Linked DNA regions of Oryctolagus cuniculus. The protein of the gene in region 1 interacts with the protein of each later gene in a pairwise test. Links are inferred from orthologs where the notes say so. Each region holds a gene or a part of one and is shown in the gene's direction. Other genes may lie near its edges.

What was found. The genes of interacting proteins can lie anywhere in the genome.
Region 2: the proteins of BMAL1 (region 1) and CRY1 interact in a two-hybrid assay, tested with the Homo sapiens proteins (3 studies listed by BioGRID, with this or other methods). The link is inferred for Oryctolagus cuniculus from reciprocal best matches to the Homo sapiens genes BMAL1 and CRY1.
Region 3: the proteins of BMAL1 (region 1) and NPAS2 interact in binary tests that used the Homo sapiens proteins (3 or more experiments, as listed by UniProt). The link is inferred for Oryctolagus cuniculus from reciprocal best matches to the Homo sapiens genes BMAL1 and NPAS2.

What each region holds. Positions count from the first base shown.
Region 1 is NC_091432.1:52,832,565-52,836,064, reverse strand, and holds part of BMAL1 (basic helix-loop-helix ARNT-like protein 1), read left to right. Parts: intron 1-1,067; coding exon 1,068-1,314; intron 1,315-2,352; coding exon 2,353-2,459; intron 2,460-3,500. UniProt on the Homo sapiens protein: Transcriptional activator which forms a core component of the circadian clock.
Region 2 is NC_091442.1:109,558,288-109,561,787, reverse strand, and holds part of CRY1 (cryptochrome-1), read left to right. Parts: intron 1-721; coding exon 722-906; intron 907-1,281; coding exon 1,282-1,370; intron 1,371-1,900; coding exon 1,901-2,041; intron 2,042-2,122; coding exon 2,123-2,434; intron 2,435-3,500.
Region 3 is NC_091433.1:107,597,020-107,600,519, reverse strand, and holds part of NPAS2 (neuronal PAS domain-containing protein 2), read left to right. Parts: intron 1-204; coding exon 205-395; intron 396-674; coding exon 675-767; intron 768-3,500. UniProt on the Homo sapiens protein: Transcriptional activator which forms a core component of the circadian clock.

The sequences.
Region 1 (3,500 bases):
CAGTCTGCCCCAACCTGCCTTCCTGCCTCTTCTCCCTGGGAGCTTCCCCCACTTCACCTCAGGCACACACAGTGCCTGCTGTTCCTTGTGTAGGATGTGCCTGTGTGTCTCTGGACAGTCTCTGCCTTGACACGTTCTGGTCCCTTAGCCACTGTCCACCCTTATTTATTTATTTGAGAGGCAGAGAAAGGGAAAGAGTGCACTCTCATCCACTGGCTCACTCCTCACATGCCCACAATGGTTGGGGCCAGGCTGGAGCTGAACCTGAAGCCAGGAACTCAGTCCAAATCTCCCACGTGGGTGGCAGGGACCCACACTGCTGCCCTCTGTGGTCTGCATTAGCAGGAAGCTGGAGTCAGGAGCTGGGAACTGGACCCAGGGGCTCCACTGTTGGATACAGGTGTCTTAGCTGCCAGGCCGAATGTCTGCTCCCTGCTCATTTTTCTTGATTGTCCCACACTGGCTTTTCTGGAGTGTCTTCCTATTCCCAGGTAGACTTAGATATTCCTTCCTTGGCATATATGATGCCTTTGGTATAGCTGGTTCTACCAGGCATATGGCGATGAATGATGGTTGTCTTATTTTTCTTTCTGCCTCTCTTTTTTAAGATTTTTTTTTTATTATTTATTTGAAAGAAAGAGTGACAAAGAGAGGGAAAGAGAGACAGATTTGTCTGTCTGCTGGTTCACTCCCCAAATGGCTGCAAATGGCCAGGGCTGGGCCATGCTGAAGCCAAGGGCCCAGAGCCTCTTCTGGGTCTCCCACATGGGTTCAGGGGGCCCCACTGCCTTCCCAGGTGCATTAGCAGGAAGCCGGATCAGAGGTGGAGTGCCAGATCTTGAACTGGCGCCCCTATGGAATGTCGGCATCACAGGCGAGGGGTTAACCTACCGTGCCACAGCACCGGGCCCCTTCTTCTGCTTCTTGCATAGGTGCTCAGTTCTAGAGAGTGGGGCCTTGGTTTTGAATTTTTTGACTCCCTACCTACATCCCACCCCGCCATCAGCTGGCTAGGCCTCCATGACCCAAAGCCAGCCCTGACACTAACCATGGACTTTATTTTCTAGCAGATCGAAAAAGCTTCTGCACAATCCACAGCACAGGGTATTTGAAAAGCTGGCCACCCACCAAGATGGGGCTGGACGAAGACAACGAACCAGACAACGAGGGGTGTAACCTCAGCTGCCTCGTGGCCATCGGACGGCTGCACTCTCACGTGGTTCCACAGCCAGTGAACGGGGAAATCAGAGTGAAGTCCATGGAGTACGTTTCTCGGCACGCCATAGACGGGAAGTTTGTTTTCGTAGACCAGAGGTAAGGGTCGTCTCGTTCCCTCGAGGCCAGGGTGGTAGAGGGGTTGCAGCCCAGAGCTGAGGAGCAGGGGAGGCTGAGTCGGCAGTTAGCTTGTCCGAGAAGAAAGACCGGGTGGGACGTGGTGAGGGCCTCCGCTGGGAAATGAGGCCCAGGACAGCATCGCCGTCAGCGTTTAGAGACAGACGCGTGGGGCCGAAAGGGGAACGCTAGGGGTCGCTCCCTGTCTGTGTGGACCCACACTGTGACTGGTCGCTCCCTGTCTGTGTGGACCCACACTGTGACTGGAATCGGGGAGTACAGGATCTGGAAACAGTTACTTCCCCCCGAGTTATCTAACACGGGAGTCATTGCCATGGTAGCCTCATGTGGCCAGTTGGTTTTAATTGAATCAATTAGAATGAAGGGTCCACTTCCTCAGGCTCACCAGTCTCACTTTTAGCATGCAGCTCTGTTGGGCAGCACTGGTCTAGTCCAGCCGCCTCATTCAGTGGACGAGGAGCTGAGGCCTGGCCTGGGGACCGGGCTGCTGCAGGATTCTCAGCTCATCGGCAGCAGGCCTGGGATGGGAGCCTAGATGTGCTAAATGCCTGCTCCCTGCTGCCTCCCTTAAAGATAGCCAGAGGCTACAAAACTTTCTGGCTACCAGAGACAGCCACGAAATGCTAGAAAAGGCCGCTTCTTAATGTTCTGTGGCCTCAGCTGCTGGGGCACCAGCTGGTTTGGTTATTCTGATTCAAAAAAGAAAAGAAAAAAGAAAAAGGCCAGTGAACGAGTGAATGCTATCTAATTAACACGGCTGCCCCTTTAGAAACCGCTAAACCTGATCTCTTGTGAGAGCAGCCCCTTTGGAAGGCTTCTTTGCTTTTGCTTTCCTCTCTTATAGCCTTGGTTAAATGCAGATACCTGGGGAAAAAAACAAAAACCAAAGAGCCGCACAGCAAGCCCTCTCCCACTGTGACGTGCGCTCACCTGCTCAGAGCTGCGACTACTCGGCCGCGTGACTTTGTCATCGTTAAAAGTGTCCCCCTTCCCTTTCAGGGCCACGGCTATCTTGGCATATTTGCCGCAGGAACTCCTAGGCACGTCATGTTATGAATATTTTCACCAAGATGACATAGGGCATCTTGCCGAGTGTCACCGGCAAGGTAAGCGGTGTGGGAGAGAAGGCCTGAAGTGGGAGGTGTCCCCTTCTTCCAGCCTGGTCCCCGTGACCTGGCAGGAGCCTGCCCTGGCGTGGGAGGCAGGCAGGGCTGAGAGGGAGGCAGGCCACGCCCAGGCACTGCTCAAGCCCCTGGCGGCTGCCCGGCCCGCGACTGCGCAGCAGTGAGGGTGCATCTTGTTCAGAGTGTTTGTGCAGATCCTGTGAGCTCCGCACGGTCCAGGCCCATCTGAGTGTCTTTTCCGAAGAAGCTGGCCTGTGCCGTCTTTCTAACTAGTGTTTGGTGTGTTTGCAGCCCTGAGGGAGAAGCCAGGGTCGATCCCTGCCTTGGCGGCATCTCTACCAGACCCAGTGCCTTTGCCTCAGGGGCCCCTTCTGTCACATGCCTGCTGGGACGTGGGCTTAGGCCCGGCGCCTGCCTGGAGACCTGACACAGACTTCTGGCAGGTCTCCCTGCTCCTGCTCATCCCCACTCCATCTTCTGTAGTGATCTCATTTGTCCTGGGACAGAGGGCGCCTGGGCACGTCTCAGCCCAGCTGTCTCTGACAGGCATTGGAATCCAGGCCCTCCCACTGCCTCAGTTTCCCCCATCCATGCCTGCAGGGGTGTCGCTGCAGCCACACTGCTCGTCCCCTGGGGCCCTGCCCCGCCAGGCCCTGTCGTATCTGCTCACTCCCGAGGGCAGGAGTCACATCCTGTCTCCTCGTGCGGCTCTCGTGCTTGGCCCCTGCAGGGCACTCACGGGTGATGGCTGCCCGCGGGACCGGGGCTTGAGCAGGCAGGTGGCCTCGCTCCAGCCCGCAGCTCCATAGCTGCGGCAGGTGCTGGCTGCCTGCAGGCCCCGTGGCTCCTGCCTCTCACGCTGGCGTTCAGCTGAGAGCAGACCCCGGTCAGGTGTGTAGATGCAGTCGCTCCCTCCCTGGAGCCGTCCTCTCGGAGGCTCCGGGAAACTGTGCCAGACTCACGAATGAAGTGAGACTCCGGCGTGGAGTGCCGGCCCCTTGGCTGTCCAGGGAGATGGTGCCA
Region 2 (3,500 bases), on another chromosome or scaffold:
TTTAATTTTTATTGATGATTGAAGAATTCCTTGAGCTTGGTTGTAATATGTTTTTCACATGTCCACATGTGTTAAAGTTTTTGTTATAGGGGCCAGCATTGTGATGGGTTAAGCCACTGGTGGCAATGCAGGCATCCAATATGGGTCCTGGTTTGAGTCTTAGCTGCTCCACTTCTGATCCAGTTTCCTGCTAATGTGCCTGGGAAAGCATCAGAGAATGGCTCAAATGCTTGGGCTCCTATATTAAAGTAGGAGACTAGGAAGAAGCTCCTGGCTGCTGGCTTTGGCCTGGCCCAGCCCTAGCCATTGTGGCCATTCAGGGAGTGAACCAGTGGATGAAAGACCTCTTTGTTTCTTTCTCTCCCTATCTGTAACTCTGCCTTTGAAAGGAATAAAATAAATCTTAAAAAAATGTTTTTGTTATTGTTTTTAGGCTACTATAGCTGCTTGATTTTTTCACTCATAAGTCGTTAGTACTCTTCATCTTAAAGGTTATGGTATTTGCATAGTGTATACTTTTGACATCTTGCAGATATCTACAAAATGAAGAAAATGTGTTTTAGACTCATTAACTATTTGAATACATTTCCTGGTCATGTAAGAAATTGTCATTCTATTAGAACTCTTATGTGATTAATTATTTTCTGATTTTAAGCCTTTTTTAGAGCTCATCACACCAATGTATCTTATATTAACTGCTCTTTATTAACTCTTATAACAGGATCATAGAACTCAATGGTGGACAACCGCCTCTCACTTATAAAAGATTTCAGACTCTCATCAGCAAGATGGAACCTCTAGAGATCCCAGTGGAGACAATTACTTCAGAGGTGATAGAAAAGTGCACAACTCCTGTGTCTGATGACCATGATGAGAAATATGGAGTCCCTTCCCTGGAAGAGCTAGGTGGGTGTGAACTGTAATAAATGTGGAACTTAACAGTTTGTAAGTCATAAATGACTCATAAAATTTTACCTCTGATTTTTCCACATGAAGTATTAATACATTAAAAGGGAAACGGTGAGGGGGGAAAGAAAGAAGAAGAAAACTGCTAAACTAAGAAATGATAATTCTGTAGTTATTTATGTGCTCTCTCTATATCTGTTGCTATCACCTTAAGATGTACATCCTAAAGAACAGAGACTATGTCATAGCATCTCTCCAGGCCCTCAATTCGCTCATGCTGTTCTCATAATTTTTCTGCAAAATAATTGTTTTCACAACTGTGATTAAATAAAAAACGTTTTAGTTCCAGAAAATTGATTATTTGTTTTTTTGTAGGTTTTGATACAGATGGCTTATCTTCTGCAGTGTGGCCTGGTGGAGAAACTGAAGCACTTACACGTTTGGAAAGGCATTTGGAAAGAAAAGTATGACAATTTAGATCATCTAGCCATGTTTTATTTCCAAGCTGGCATTTTAAAAATAATTTCATTCTCTTTTAAAAACAAAAAGTAGAATGTTGAAAAAGAAGAGTTCAGGGAAATAAAGTTACACAAACCTAAGTATTTGAAAATTAACTACCTCATTTAAATGCCCTTTCTCCTGCTTTTCTGATTATTTTTCTTGGTTATTTCCTATCTTTCTACTTAACCTGGTTTCCGATGACCATAATTTTGGAATTAGAATAGAATCCTCTGTTAACCTCAGTGGGCAGTGGAAGGTAATCTCAGGCATGTGTTGGGAGTTTGAAGGTTATGTGTTTCACATGAGTCTGTGCTGCATGATAATTGAAATGAAAGAATGCTTACTTTTCTTTCATGTTTAATAAACATATGTAACTTGTGGCTTGGATAATAAATTATTCCCAGAGAACTGGGAAACTTTTATTAAAAAAAAAATCTGTTTTGAATACTGTGTTTAAGTGGGAAAGACAATGTGATTCTTTCTGTGTTTTCAGGCTTGGGTGGCAAACTTTGAAAGACCTCGAATGAATGCTAATTCCTTGCTTGCAAGCCCCACTGGGCTCAGTCCTTATTTGCGATTTGGCTGTTTGTCATGTAGACTATTCTACTTCAAACTGACAGATCTCTACAAAAAGGTACTTTTTAAAATCAGTGCTTACCTTTCAAAATACATTTTTAAAACTTGCTGATAATACTTCTTTGCCTTTTAATCATAGGTAAAGAAGAACAGTTCCCCTCCTCTTTCTCTTTATGGGCAGCTATTGTGGCGTGAGTTTTTCTATACAGCAGCAACAAATAATCCACGCTTTGATAAAATGGAGGGAAACCCCATCTGTGTTCAGATTCCTTGGGATAAGAATCCTGAGGCATTAGCCAAATGGGCTGAAGGTCAAACAGGCTTTCCGTGGATTGATGCCATCATGACACAGCTTCGTCAGGAAGGGTGGATTCACCATTTAGCCAGACACGCAGTTGCTTGCTTCCTGACACGAGGTGACCTCTGGATCAGTTGGGAAGAAGGCATGAAGGTAAGTGTTCTAAGAACTGTAGCCAGGTCTTTGAAGGAACTCCAGATGTTGTATATTGTACAGATTCATTTATAATCTAGTGTTTCAGTGAATAAAACTTTTAATCACCACAGTATAGGCATACTTTTGGACAGCAGGATGGTATAATCAGACAGGAGAAATGCTGAAAACTGGCTAAGACAATAGACCTAAACTCATTTAAATGTTTAAAGCAGGCTGTGATTTAAGAGAACTGTAAGATTTAGCATTCTGGAGTTATCGTGTAGATATATTTATATGTATTCATTTCTGTCACAAAAAAGATTTGCCTAAGAATTCTCAGAAATAGTGAATTTATATTATAAATCTTAGAATGTAAATCATTTCACCTTACTTCAACATTGTAACTTTTTAGTAATATTTCTGTTATGTAAAGTGAAACATACTATGTTTTATGATATCATATTGTGGTTTTATGTAACAGGATTTACAAATATGTTCTCCCTTTCTGACATTATTATAAATTTTCCCTATCTAAGGACCAATTTTGAGCCTTTTTTTACATCTCCTTTATTTCCTTGTACAAAATTGTATATAAAGATGTGTAGCAAAAACTTAGTCAATTTATAATCATTTATTTAACTCTATTTTTTGAATCAAGAAATTTAAAACTTAAATTGTGTAATATTAGTACATTTTTAAAGTACATTTGTATTTAAGTGTGCTCCCTTTATCTAGGCCACTATGCCAAGCTTCTAAGTTTTTGTTGGTGATTTATTTGGTAGTGGTTTTGCTTTTTTGAAAGTGGTTTACTGTTTTTTCTCTGTTAATATCCTATCTTTTAAACCAGTGACTCTAGTAATTTTTTTACCCTTCCCCCAGTAACACTGCAAGGATTGGAAAAGTAAATTCTCTAATCTATATTACCAATATTTTTCTTTCCCTGCTATTCCTCATTATAGAACAAACAAGGAAGCTAACTGGAATGTTTTGATTTTACAGTTTTGTGCTAATTTTCTTTGCCTTGACTTTTGATCTACAGTGACCTCAAAAATGCTTGCTTTGAGAATTATGTGTGTGCAAACTA
Region 3 (3,500 bases), on another chromosome or scaffold:
TGGTACCATCCAAGGCCCAAGGGCACTCAAAGAAGCCTTGAGGTGCTTACAGCCCAATGGCGTGACAGTCGCGAGATCAAAAGAACTTAAGCACAGTTAGGTCCTAAGTAGGCCCCAAGTTAGGCTAAAGGCCCAGGGGAGGGACATTCCATGGAGAGCTGGTGCCTGAGCTCAGTCTGAGTGCTGCCCCTCTCAATGCTCCAGGGGCCCAAGCCATTGAGGGGCTCGCAGTTGCTGCAGGCCGGCAGCCGCTCGGTGAGCAGTTTGACGTCCCAATTCAGCAGCGCCACGGCCGCGCTCCCGCCGACTCTGAATCTGACCACGCCTGCTCCCGCCTCCCAGGAGGCCAGCCAGTGCCAGCCCAGCCCCGACTTCAGCCATGATCGGCAGCTCAGGTACGGAGCCCACCGTGGTGCAGAGGCCGACCGAGGGGGTGGTTTTCAGCGATTTGACTCAGCTCCCTGCTGCAGATGGACACGGGGTCCAGAGAGATTCTAAAGTCTCTGTAGTTGGATGCAGTGAGGGAAGTGGCAGGAGAGGCCTTGGGGTCCCCACGAGCAGGGAGGATGACGCCCTGAGTTTGTCGACCTCTGAGGAAGCGGGGATGAGCGTTGGCCATAGGTGCTACGGTTTCGGTGCTGATACAATTTCCCATTTCTCTCTTCTGTTCCAAGACTATTGCTGAGCCAGCCCATCCAGCCCATGATGCCTGGGTCTTGTGAGGCGAGGCAGCCCTCAGAGATGGGCAGGACTGGACGGCAAGTCAAGTACGTGGCCCCGGGGAGGAGCGGGGAGGCAGAGAGCTGTGCCGAGTGGCCCCCGCTGGCGGCTCTCCTCTGTCGGGGCCATCAGTGCCTGCTGGGACTCGAGCTGGGAGGCAGGATCCAAGTGTGCTCTTCTTCCCCTGGTTCCCATTAGAGCAGGTCCAACTCCCTGCCGACCTGGGCAAAACAATGCATTATAGCCCAATTTGCTGTCATCTCCTTGGCCAGATCAGAGCCTGGAACCAAGAGCTTCATCCTGGTCTCCCAGTCTCCCGTGTGTGGGTGCAGGGACCCAAGCACTTGGGCTATCTTCCGCTGCTTTCCCAGGCACATTAGCAGGGAGCTGGATCAGAAGTGGAGCAGCCAGGACTCGAACTGGTGCCCATATGGGATGCTGGTGATGCCAACGGAGGCTTACCCTGCTAAGCCAAAGTGCTGGCCCCCAACATCTTCCTTGTATGTCTAAAACCCTGCGCCCTTGGTGACACCCTTGGTGGAGGTAGCCTTCTTCTCCTTCCCGGGAGCCCTCTCGAGCTCCAGGGAACCATTCTGCAGACACACTTGGAGCTTACCTGCCCTGTGGGTGCAGCACGGTGCCCCAGGATCACGAGACCCTACAAATGTAGGAACCTCCTTTCCTGCCAGACACACAGCCTTCTCTCTTTCATTTCCTTGCCTTGGTCTGTTGTCGGCAGCCGTAACGAAACACCTGAGACCAGGTACTCTGTAAGGAACAGACGTTTACTTGGCTCACGGTTTGAAGAGGCTGAGAAGTCCAAGAGCATGGCCCTGGCCTTCTTGCTGCATCCGACCCTGGCAGAAGGCATCCCAGGGCGAGACAGAGGGAGCACGCTAGGCCACGCCTCTTTCCCTCCACTTGTGAAACCAACAAGGCCATCATGGCTTCCTCTAATCATAGTCACATCCAGAGGGCCCACCTCTGAACCTTCCTAACCTATGGCTCTTGGGGCTGAGTTTCCAGCGCATGAACTTTGGGGGACGCATTCAAACCACAGCGCTTCCTCAGCGTCTTCTCGTGTGAACCCCCGGGACCAGAAGCAGCTTGGCTTGCTGCTTACTTACTAGGCAAAAGGCTGCCTGGAGATGCAAGGGCTGGTAGTTTAAAAGTTCCTGGAAGATTCCGGCTGGCGCCGCGGCTCACTAGGCTAATCCTCTGCCTTGCAGCGCCGGCACACCAGGTTCTAGTCCCGGTCGGTCGGGGCGCCGGATTCTGTCCCGGTTGCCCCTCTTCCAGGCCAGCTCTCTGCTGTGGCCAGGGAGTGCAGTGGAGGATGGCCCAAGTGCTTGGGCCCTGCACCCCATGGGAGACCAGGAGAAGCACCTGGCTCCTGGCTTCGGATCAGCGCGATGAGCTGGCCGCAGCGCGCCGGCCGCAGTGGCCATTGGAGAGTGAACCAATGGCAAAGGAAGACCTTTCTCTCTGTCTCTCTCTCTCTCTCTCTCTCTCACTGTCCACTCTGCCTGTCAAAAAAAAAAAAAAAAAAAGTTCCTGGAAGATAGTTTCCAGCCCTTTGAAACAAAGCAGCACAACAACTATTGCTCACTTTTTTTTAATGTTTATTTTGTATTTTCATTGACTCGAAAGGTAGAGTGGCAGAAACAGAAAGAGGTCTTTTATAAACTAATTAATTTTTTAAGGAATACAAACTTCATAAGTACAACGTTAGGAATATAGTAATTCTTCCCACCATACCTGCCCTCCCACCCCTCCTCCTCCTCCCTCTCCCCTTCCCAGTCCCATTCTCCATTAAATTCATTTTCAATTAACTTTGTACACAGAAGACCAACTCTATGCTAAGTAAAGATTTCAACAGTTTGCACACCCACGCTCATACACACACAAAAAAACCTGAGAACTAGTTCTACATTTAACTCTCATAATACAACTCCTTGAGGACAGAGGTCCTGCATGGGGAGTTAGTACATAATGACTCCTGTTGTTAATTTAACAACTGACACTCTTATGTATGATGTCAGTGACCACCCGTGGCTCTTGACATGAACTGCCTAGGCTATGGAAACCTTTTGAGTCCACAAACTCCGCCAGTATTTGGACAAGGCCATAAGCAAAGTGGAAGTTCTCTCCTCTCTTTAAAGAAGAGTATATTCTTCTTTGATGGCTGCTTGAAGGCGAGATCTTAACATCTGCTAAACTCATTCCCTAAAGACCTGTAATAGCCAGAGCAGGGTCAGGCGGAAGCCAGGAGCCAGGAATGCCATCCGGGTTTCCCACATAGGCAGCAGGAGCCCAAGTACTTGAGCCACCCTCCACTGTCTCCCAGGATGCGTGAGGAACTAGATTGACAGAGAGTGACCGGGACTCAAACCATCACTCTGGTATGGAATGTGGGCATTGCAAGCAGCAGCTTAACCCCTTATGCCACGACATCTGCCCCATTTTTTGCATCACCACTGGTTGAACTTGGCATTTGACATTCATTAGGACAGGGCTAGCTGATGAAGCCTGGCACACCCTCCTACAGGGGCCTTGCAGCTGGGCCGTCACACTGGGCATCTTCTGCCTGTGTCCTCCTGCAGCCGACACAGTGACAGCAGATGGTTACTGCATGCATCTCTGAGCGTCAGGGGCCTGTGTGTTCATTATTTTATCTCCCTAAAAACCCTATGATGTAGGGAATCTCTCTCTCTCTCTCTCTCTCTCTCTCTCTCTCATCAGTGAAGAGACTGCCTGTGAAAGGGTTTGGGTTACATTCT